Linked DNA regions of Elephas maximus indicus. The protein of the gene in region 1 purifies or fractionates together with the protein of each later gene. This does not show direct contact. Links are inferred from orthologs where the notes say so. Each region holds a gene or a part of one and is shown on either strand. Other genes may lie near its edges.

Evidence for each region. The genes of interacting proteins can lie anywhere in the genome.
Region 2: the proteins of CHTOP (region 1) and ERH purify together in Homo sapiens (affinity purification with mass spectrometry; 3 studies listed by BioGRID and IntAct, with this or other methods). This does not show direct contact. The link is inferred for Elephas maximus indicus from reciprocal best matches to the Homo sapiens genes CHTOP and ERH.

Annotation. Positions count from the first base shown.
Region 1 is NC_064821.1:191,479,757-191,483,503, forward strand, and holds the start of CHTOP (chromatin target of PRMT1 protein), read left to right. Parts: upstream 1-1,335; 5' UTR 1,336-1,657; intron 1,658-2,601; 5' UTR 2,602-2,618; coding exon 2,619-2,683; intron 2,684-3,747. UniProt on the Homo sapiens protein: Plays an important role in the ligand-dependent activation of estrogen receptor target genes. May play a role in the silencing of fetal globin genes.
Region 2 is NC_064828.1:81,864,796-81,868,542, forward strand, and holds the start of ERH (enhancer of rudimentary homolog), read right to left. Parts: upstream 2,351-3,747; 5' UTR 2,245-2,350; coding exon 2,242-2,244; intron 1-2,241. Other genes in the region: SLC39A9 (zinc transporter ZIP9), read left to right, coding at 3,419-3,510. UniProt on the Homo sapiens protein: May have a role in the cell cycle.

The sequences.
Region 1 (3,747 bases):
CCAGCTGTTAAGTGGAAGAGACATCAGCTTCTTGGCTATAAAGCCAGAAAAAGAATCTCCATTCAACATTAACCAGTATTTACTAAGGACCTACCAATGTGCTTAAGGAGGTGGCACAGCTACGGTTGCTAACCAAAAGGTCGGCAGTTCGAATCTGATTGGAAACCCTATGGGGCAATTCTACTCTGTCCTATAGGGTCCCTATGGTCGTGGTTTTTTTTAGGGAGTCCCTGGGTGGCATAAAGGTTAAAGCGCTTGACTACCAACTGAAAGGATAAAGATTAGAGTCCACTCAGAGGTGCCTCAAAAGAAAGTCCTGCTGATCTGCTTCTGAAAAATCAGCCATTGAAAACCTGTGGAGCACAGTTCTACTCTGACACACATGGGGTCGCCATGAGTCAGAAGGACTCAAGGCAACTGGTAACTGGTACCATGTGCCAGACATTGTGTAGGAACTTAGGATACAGCAGTGAACAAAACAAACACCATCCTTACTCTCACATGGCTAAAGTCCAGCAAGGATACCGGGCCATTAAAACACATACACACAAGTGCTAGGAAGAGAAATAAAAGAATCTGATGCATAAGTAAGGTGGAGGAAGGGTTGAAGATGTGTTCATTCACTCATGTCTCAAATATCTGAGCACTCTGTTGTGTATCCAGACATAAAAAAAGTCCCTTTATAGAACTGTGTCAAAATTCACATGGCTGGCAGGTGGAGAGGGAGGACATGAAAGGGTGAGCAGGGACGCAAAGATCTCCCCAAATAAGGACTAAGCAATATTCGGGCCAAATTGGGGACGGAAAGAAGTGGAGAGGTTAATACGGACGGGAAGCGGTGAATGGCGCAGGAACCGGGAAAGTGTTCTCAACTCCCAAAATAGGGAGAATGGGGTTGAGCGGACAGCCCGGCTCCGTGATCTGCAAGAGGTGGAGTAAAATTCCGCGGAAAGATTTTTAGACGGTCAGACTTAGACGGTCTATCTTAGGAGGGAAGGAGTAAACAAGGGGATACGAAAACATTTTTCTTCGAGACTGAATCCGTCTCAGTGGCCCTGACTACGAAGGACTCCAGGGGTCTACAGCTCCTAAACCGAGGCGCCTCCAACGTGAAGGCCCCGTCAAGCCTCAACACTAGGGCCATTGGCCACGCCCCTCCGCGGTCGGAGCGCTTGGTGTAACACAAACAGGGCCTTTTACTAAAGCTCCGCCTCCTCCCTGCGGCTCCGCCCCTCAGCCTCGTGCCCAAGTAGCAAAAGTCTTTCCCGCCCCCTAGTTGTGCGTGGATCTGACGCCTGACGTAATAGCGTCGACGCCATTTTAGCCGGCCCCACTCCGCACGGGGCGTGGTGGCCATTTTGTTTTGGACGTCGAGCGGGACACGGCGGCGTCGGCGGCGGCAGCGGCAGCGGCAGCGGCAGCTGTGGTGGCATAGACGAAAAGAAGGAAAAGGCAGGCTGGGTGAGCAGGCGGACTGGCCAAACAGCCCGCAAACAACAACGAGCTAGCCTAGCAGTCTATCGATTACGCATCTAACCAACCGCCCACCAAGTTACCCCGAGCCCCCCACCGTCAACTCAGGTTCGGCCGGTCCCCGGCCCGCTTGCCGCAGCCGTGGTGGCAGCCCCGGGAGGAGCACTGGCGTCCGTTTCTTTTGGTGCGTTTCTGCAGTGAGGAGGGGGAGAGTCTTGGGGAACGGAAGGAGCTGGCGGTCGCGAAGTGGGGGGTGGTGGCATGTGGAAGCCGACCGGGTGTTGGAGTGAGGACGCCCCCGAGAGGGGGCGGAGCCCGGGAGGAGGAGGTGGGGAGAGGCTCAACTGGAAACTGGTGGCGGGATTGATGGGGGATAACAGGGAAAAAAGGAGAATTGTTTGGCGAGTTGAGCAAAGCTGGCTGTCTTCCCCAGGTTTTGAGATGGTAGAGAGGCTAAGTGAGGGCTGTGGGACTTTGGCTTGAAAATTAACGGTGGCTTTAGCGTTACATTCTGTAGAGAGCTCTCTGGGAGCTAGCTCTCAGGTGAATGCCTATTTAGGAAGCCTTTTCTACTCCATCGTCAAGCTCCCCAATCCCTTGCTAAGGCCACTACTCGATTTTAACGTCGAAAGCCAGTTTTGAAGCCAAGTATGCCTGTTTTTTCTCCAGATCAATGCTTCTCAACTTTAGACGCGCATTAGAGGCACCTGGCTAACATTCCTCCCCCCATTGCTGATCCCCAGCCCCACCCCCACCGATTGTGGTTAATTGGTCTGTGCCTAGGTTTCTATAGTTTTAAAAGCTCCCTGGGTAAGTCATATGTTGCCATACACTACCAGTTGAGAACTGATCTAGATTAAAAGCCAAGCTGTTAACACCCCTTTTTGCCATCTTTGGTTCTGCTACCATTTTTGAGACTTTGGCTGATATTTTATGTTCTGTGGGCTTCAAATTTTAATAGTTTGAAGTAATTACCTTAAAAACTTAAGCAACTGAAATGTGTTTTCATGTGATCTTCAATAGTCAGTGGTGAAGGTCTTTCCATTTGTTGTTGGTTCGGGCCTTGGCCCTTGTAGAAAGAGGTCGTTGTTATTCCAATTTGCTCATTTTGTCCATTATCCTTTGTAGATTCTCGGGATTTGAAGATGGCTGCACAGTCAGCTCCGAAAGTTGTGCTAAAAAGCACCACCAAGATGTCTCTAAATGAGCGGTGAGGCAGCCAACAGCAACTTCAGCTCGTTCATAAGAAAACATTACTTAAATTGGCCCTGGGATCCAATGCACAAAAACGGTTTTAAAATAACTAAATACCAACAGAAGGCTACAGACTTCTGTTCTTAGTTGCATCTTAATATGGTACACACATTGGGCGGTTGTTTCAAAACCCCTTTTTCAGTAGATTTTTATGTTAAGCTGTCTGAAACATTTATCTGGTGGGATGTATTTTAAAAAGACTCCTCACACCCTCCCTCTCTTCACATTTTTTTTTTACGTTGATACAGGGGTGGTGCAGCACGGTAGCATGGTACCCTGGCTGCAGAAGGCTTGCTGCCCAGTCCAAGGCCAGCAGTGTTGCGTCTGGCCTGTAAGAGGCAGGTAGCAAGCCATGAATCTGTCCAAAGGCCCTTGAATATCATTCTTGGGCCTTGTAAGAGGCACTTGCTTTGCTCCATTTCACTTTCTTCCCATTCTGCTTTTAGTTTGTTTTTGTTTTGGATTCTTTTACAGTTGTGTTCTTCTCTTTCGTGCCATTCATCTTACCTTAACAGAAATAATAGAGTGTCTTCCCAAGCTCTGAAATGATTGAACTAATTTAACTTTCTCATAAGTAATTATTTGGAGTCAGGGAAAGTGTCCATTTGAGGTTAAGAAAAGTTTAGGTATTTAAAGTAGCTTTTGTCTCTGAGAGCTCTGTTCATTGAGGGCCTTTGGCCAAAAAATTTATTAAGTTGATGTTAGACTGCTAGGAGATTTGTCTGTCTGTTTTTGTCTTTTTGAAGCATATGTGCTGCTTCTCTAGCCCCTTTGGTATGATATACTTACTAGCTGTCCATATTAGCAAGCTACTGAGTAAACAAAACATAAGAAAATGTGATGCAGTCCTGTAATATATATGGATGTACTATTTCCGTAGTCCCTGGGTGGTGCAAACAATTAAGGCACTTGGCTGCTAATAGGTTGGTGGTTTGAGGCCGCCGCCCCCCTGAGGTGCCTCAGAAGAAAGGGCTGGCAGTCTGCTTCCCAAAAAGCAGCCATTGAAACCACCGTGGACTA
Region 2 (3,747 bases), on another chromosome or scaffold:
GAAATCACATTAGCATTCCTGCAATAAGGTTTGCCCTGTAGCTATAAAAACCTGTTGCCATGGAGTTGATTCCGACTCATAGTGACCCTATAGGACAGAACAGAACTGCCCTACAGGGTTTCCAAGGAGCAGCTGGTGGATTTGAACTGTCGACCTTTTGGTTAGCAGCCAAGTTCTCAACCACCAAACCACCAGGGTTCCGTACAGTAGCTATATCAGTTGCTATTATATTAATTCTTATGCTAATGCAAATTAAATGACTATTTGAAAGGGTAACATACGGAAATGGCTACATAATATGCTTCTTTTTATATCTAGTCTTAAAATAAGGCTCTAGGCAAAGCTTATTATTTCAGTATTTATTACCCAAAGACATGGATTAAAACTACTAAATATGCGACATAACTAAATTATCATTTTTAAGTGGCAGTGCTTTCCTGTTAGCAATTTTTAAAGATCATAATATCTCCCAAAGTGGTTTTGGTCACTTTCTTCTTATTGTTCTTTTCAGAACCCTTTTGTTTTATTTTAGTAAATATAAACATATGTCTTGTCAGTTCCCCCCCCCTCCGCCGCCCCCCGCTTACTTCTGGGCAGATTTGGTCCATGCATTCCTTACAGTCTTTCCTGGGGGAATGGCCAGTACAATAAATATATATTTTTTTCTATTTATAATAGGAAAAACCAGTTGTGACAAACCAAAATGTGAAAAAAATTATGCATAATTTCTTAATAAAATCCTTTATCCTGAGAGATTACCAAGCAGTTGTGATTCACTCTGATAAATAATCTGACTTTGTTTACTTTTTAGAAGTCTCACAAACAGGAGAACAGTCATTCTGCTGTTGACTGTTGCAATATTATAATACCTATGATCTGTTCACTGGCATCCAGTATTTTCCCAAACTACAAAAAACAAAAATAAATCGAAGCTTGCACCTTCTAGTACTTACGGTGTTCAAACCAATAATTATCCACTTTAATTATAAATTCTAACTTTTAATTCTACTCAAAGCTGATGACGAAATATTACTAACATTTATTCAAGAATGAGTTGTTGATGTTAATTGCTGTAACTGTCTCAGACTTTGATCGCTGAATTTTAACACAATACCAAAGAGGGGACATACAACCAAAGAAGAAGGAAACTTACACGAGTAAAATGACAAGCCCAAAGTCACAAAGCTAGTTATGGCAAAACAGAAACTGGAAACAGTCTTCTGATTCCTTGTCCTTTTTGGGAGACTAGATTGAGTCAGCACTGAAAAATCTCAATTCAAAAAGTGCAACTAGGCATAGTTCATCGTTAGCAATAACTGCACTGGTAGTTACAAAACCAGCAACCAGACGCCCTGTAGGCATCCCTCTTCTGATGATCTAAAAAAAAAAAACAAAAAAAAACACCCATTCCACTACCACCCCAGCCAGATTCTAAGTACCTGGAACCTCGGGTAAGCCTACCTTTTCAGACTCCAGTCCCATCAGAATATAAACAAGGGTAACAACAGGCGGTGCAAGTAGTTCAGCGCTCGACTACTAACCCTTAAAGTTCAAACTAAACCAGCAGCTCAAGCGGGAGATGTGGCAGTGTGCTTCGGTAAAGACTTACACAGCCTTGGAAACCCTATGGGGCAGTTCTACTCTGTCCTATAGGATCGCTATGAGTCAAAATCGACTTCAAGGCAATGGGTTTGGTTTCTCAACTGGGTAGGGTTGAGGGAAACAAGTGGGACACCTAGATGTATTAGAAAAGGGTAAAAACCTAAGGGGAGAACGACAAAACACGGAAAAGCAAAAGGGGAATAGTTGAGAAAACTCGCCACAAAGCAAACACGACCCCTCCAGGCCCCACGCGAGTGCAGGAAGTGGAATGTCAGCTTCGGATAGGTTTGATAGACATCCCTCGGCCATTGTTCCTACACCAGGGTAGAGCGTTTGGAGGGAAAGGGCACCATCCCTACGCCTCCCTCTACCAAGCAGCTGGCGGGAGTAAGGGCATCCTTAGACGCACGGCGCGCCTCTTCCGAGCCAGTGGTCCGGCGCGCAACCCTAGAGCTGGCCCAGGGTTCGGGGCCTAGAGCAAGGCCCGGCGACTCCGTGGCGGGAAGCAAAAGGGTCGACCCACGCGCTGGAGAGGCGGGGAGCAACACGCTCGCTCTGGACTGGGGTGGATGGAAGATGTACGGGGCTGGAGGGGCCAGGAAGGGTGGGGGCTCGGGTAGCCGGGGAGGCCTTTCTCACCATCGTGCCAAACTCTTTCGCTGCAGCCGCTGTAGATACCACCACCGCACACGAGCTGAGCCACAACGCCGCCAACAGCCAATCCCCGCGAGAGGAGCCGCCGGAACTCGTCAAAATCGCAACCGGAAAGAGCCTTTTGGACCATAGAGGCGTACATATTTCCGGTAGCTAGAGCAGATACCGACTCTGTTTCAGCCATGTTGGATAAGGGCGACTTAGATACATCGCGGAATGTTTCGTAGCTTGAGAAAGGGTCCTTTTTTTTTTTTTTTTTAAGACGCCGTCTTCCGTACTCTGGTTGTTAGACATTCGGCCAGAGTGATCACCAGTATAGACGGGAACAAGTCCTTTTCAGTGGCCTTACTAATATTTTTACTAAAAAATGGCGGCCGTATAAGTATACCGGGCCATAGGTCGGTTGTAACCCGGAAATGCCTTTCGGGGGGGGGAACCGGTGGGGCAATCCGGAAGTGGATGTAATGAAGAGTTGCCACTTGGCGGCCATGGCAGCTGTAGTATCGGTGTCTTCGGGTCAAGACTCGGAGGAGTGGAGTGTCATGGGCAGCAGCGGGTATAGGGCAGAGACAGCTTTGTATCAGCTTCGCTGCTGAACCTTTCGGATCCGTCGTGTTAGAGACCTGCAGGACTCCTTTCCCCATACAAGACTTGGAGGGGAGTTTGCCGGGATTGGTGGGCTGGTCCCAGCCCTGGGGGGATCACCGTTGGGCTGCCTCAGGGGTACGGGGGGCCGGGAGACGAACAGGTTCTCTTGGGTTTTCCTCCTCTTCCTGCTGCCATCTGGGACATTGTCTGTGGGGGGAGTGGACTCCTTGTGCCACTCTCATTCCGACGATTGAAGAAGTCGTTCATTCTCATATTTTCCCCGTTGACTTTTCCCATTTCTGTTAACTCACGGGAATCCAGTGTCTGGCACCTGGGAACCCAGAGGCTGGGACCTAAGGTTGCTGAAAGTTCTCTCTGGTGCTATTATCAGCAAAAAGGGGTTTCCAGAGGTACCTCGAGAACAGATCTGCTGGTGGGGAGGCCGAAAGAACTGGAGAGCCCGCCTATTCTCTTGGAATCACCGCGCGTGCTTGAGAACCTAAGCAACTTTTGAAGCCACTGAAAATTCATAGTCTGTCTGGTGGTGGTGGGTGAATAAAGGAGGGCAGAATGGATGATTTCATCTCCATTAGTATGCTGTCCCTCGCTATGTTGGTGGGATGTTACGTGGCTGGAATCATTCCTTTGGCTGTTAATTTCTCAGAGGTAAGAAATAACCAATATTCTGTCAGCTCTCAGGTTGGCTGCTGGGAAGTAATGACAGTTATGAAGGGAAGCAGCTTCCCAAGTTAATCTCAGAGCTGAGGGATTTCATGAAGGAAGACTGTCTTTTAAAAAAGATACCTAACGTTTAATAGTGGAAACAAATCTCATTCAGCACTAGAGTTTTTAACGTGGGATGGGTGGATCCACCAGAAATCTGGGGTATTCTGAACCTGGGGG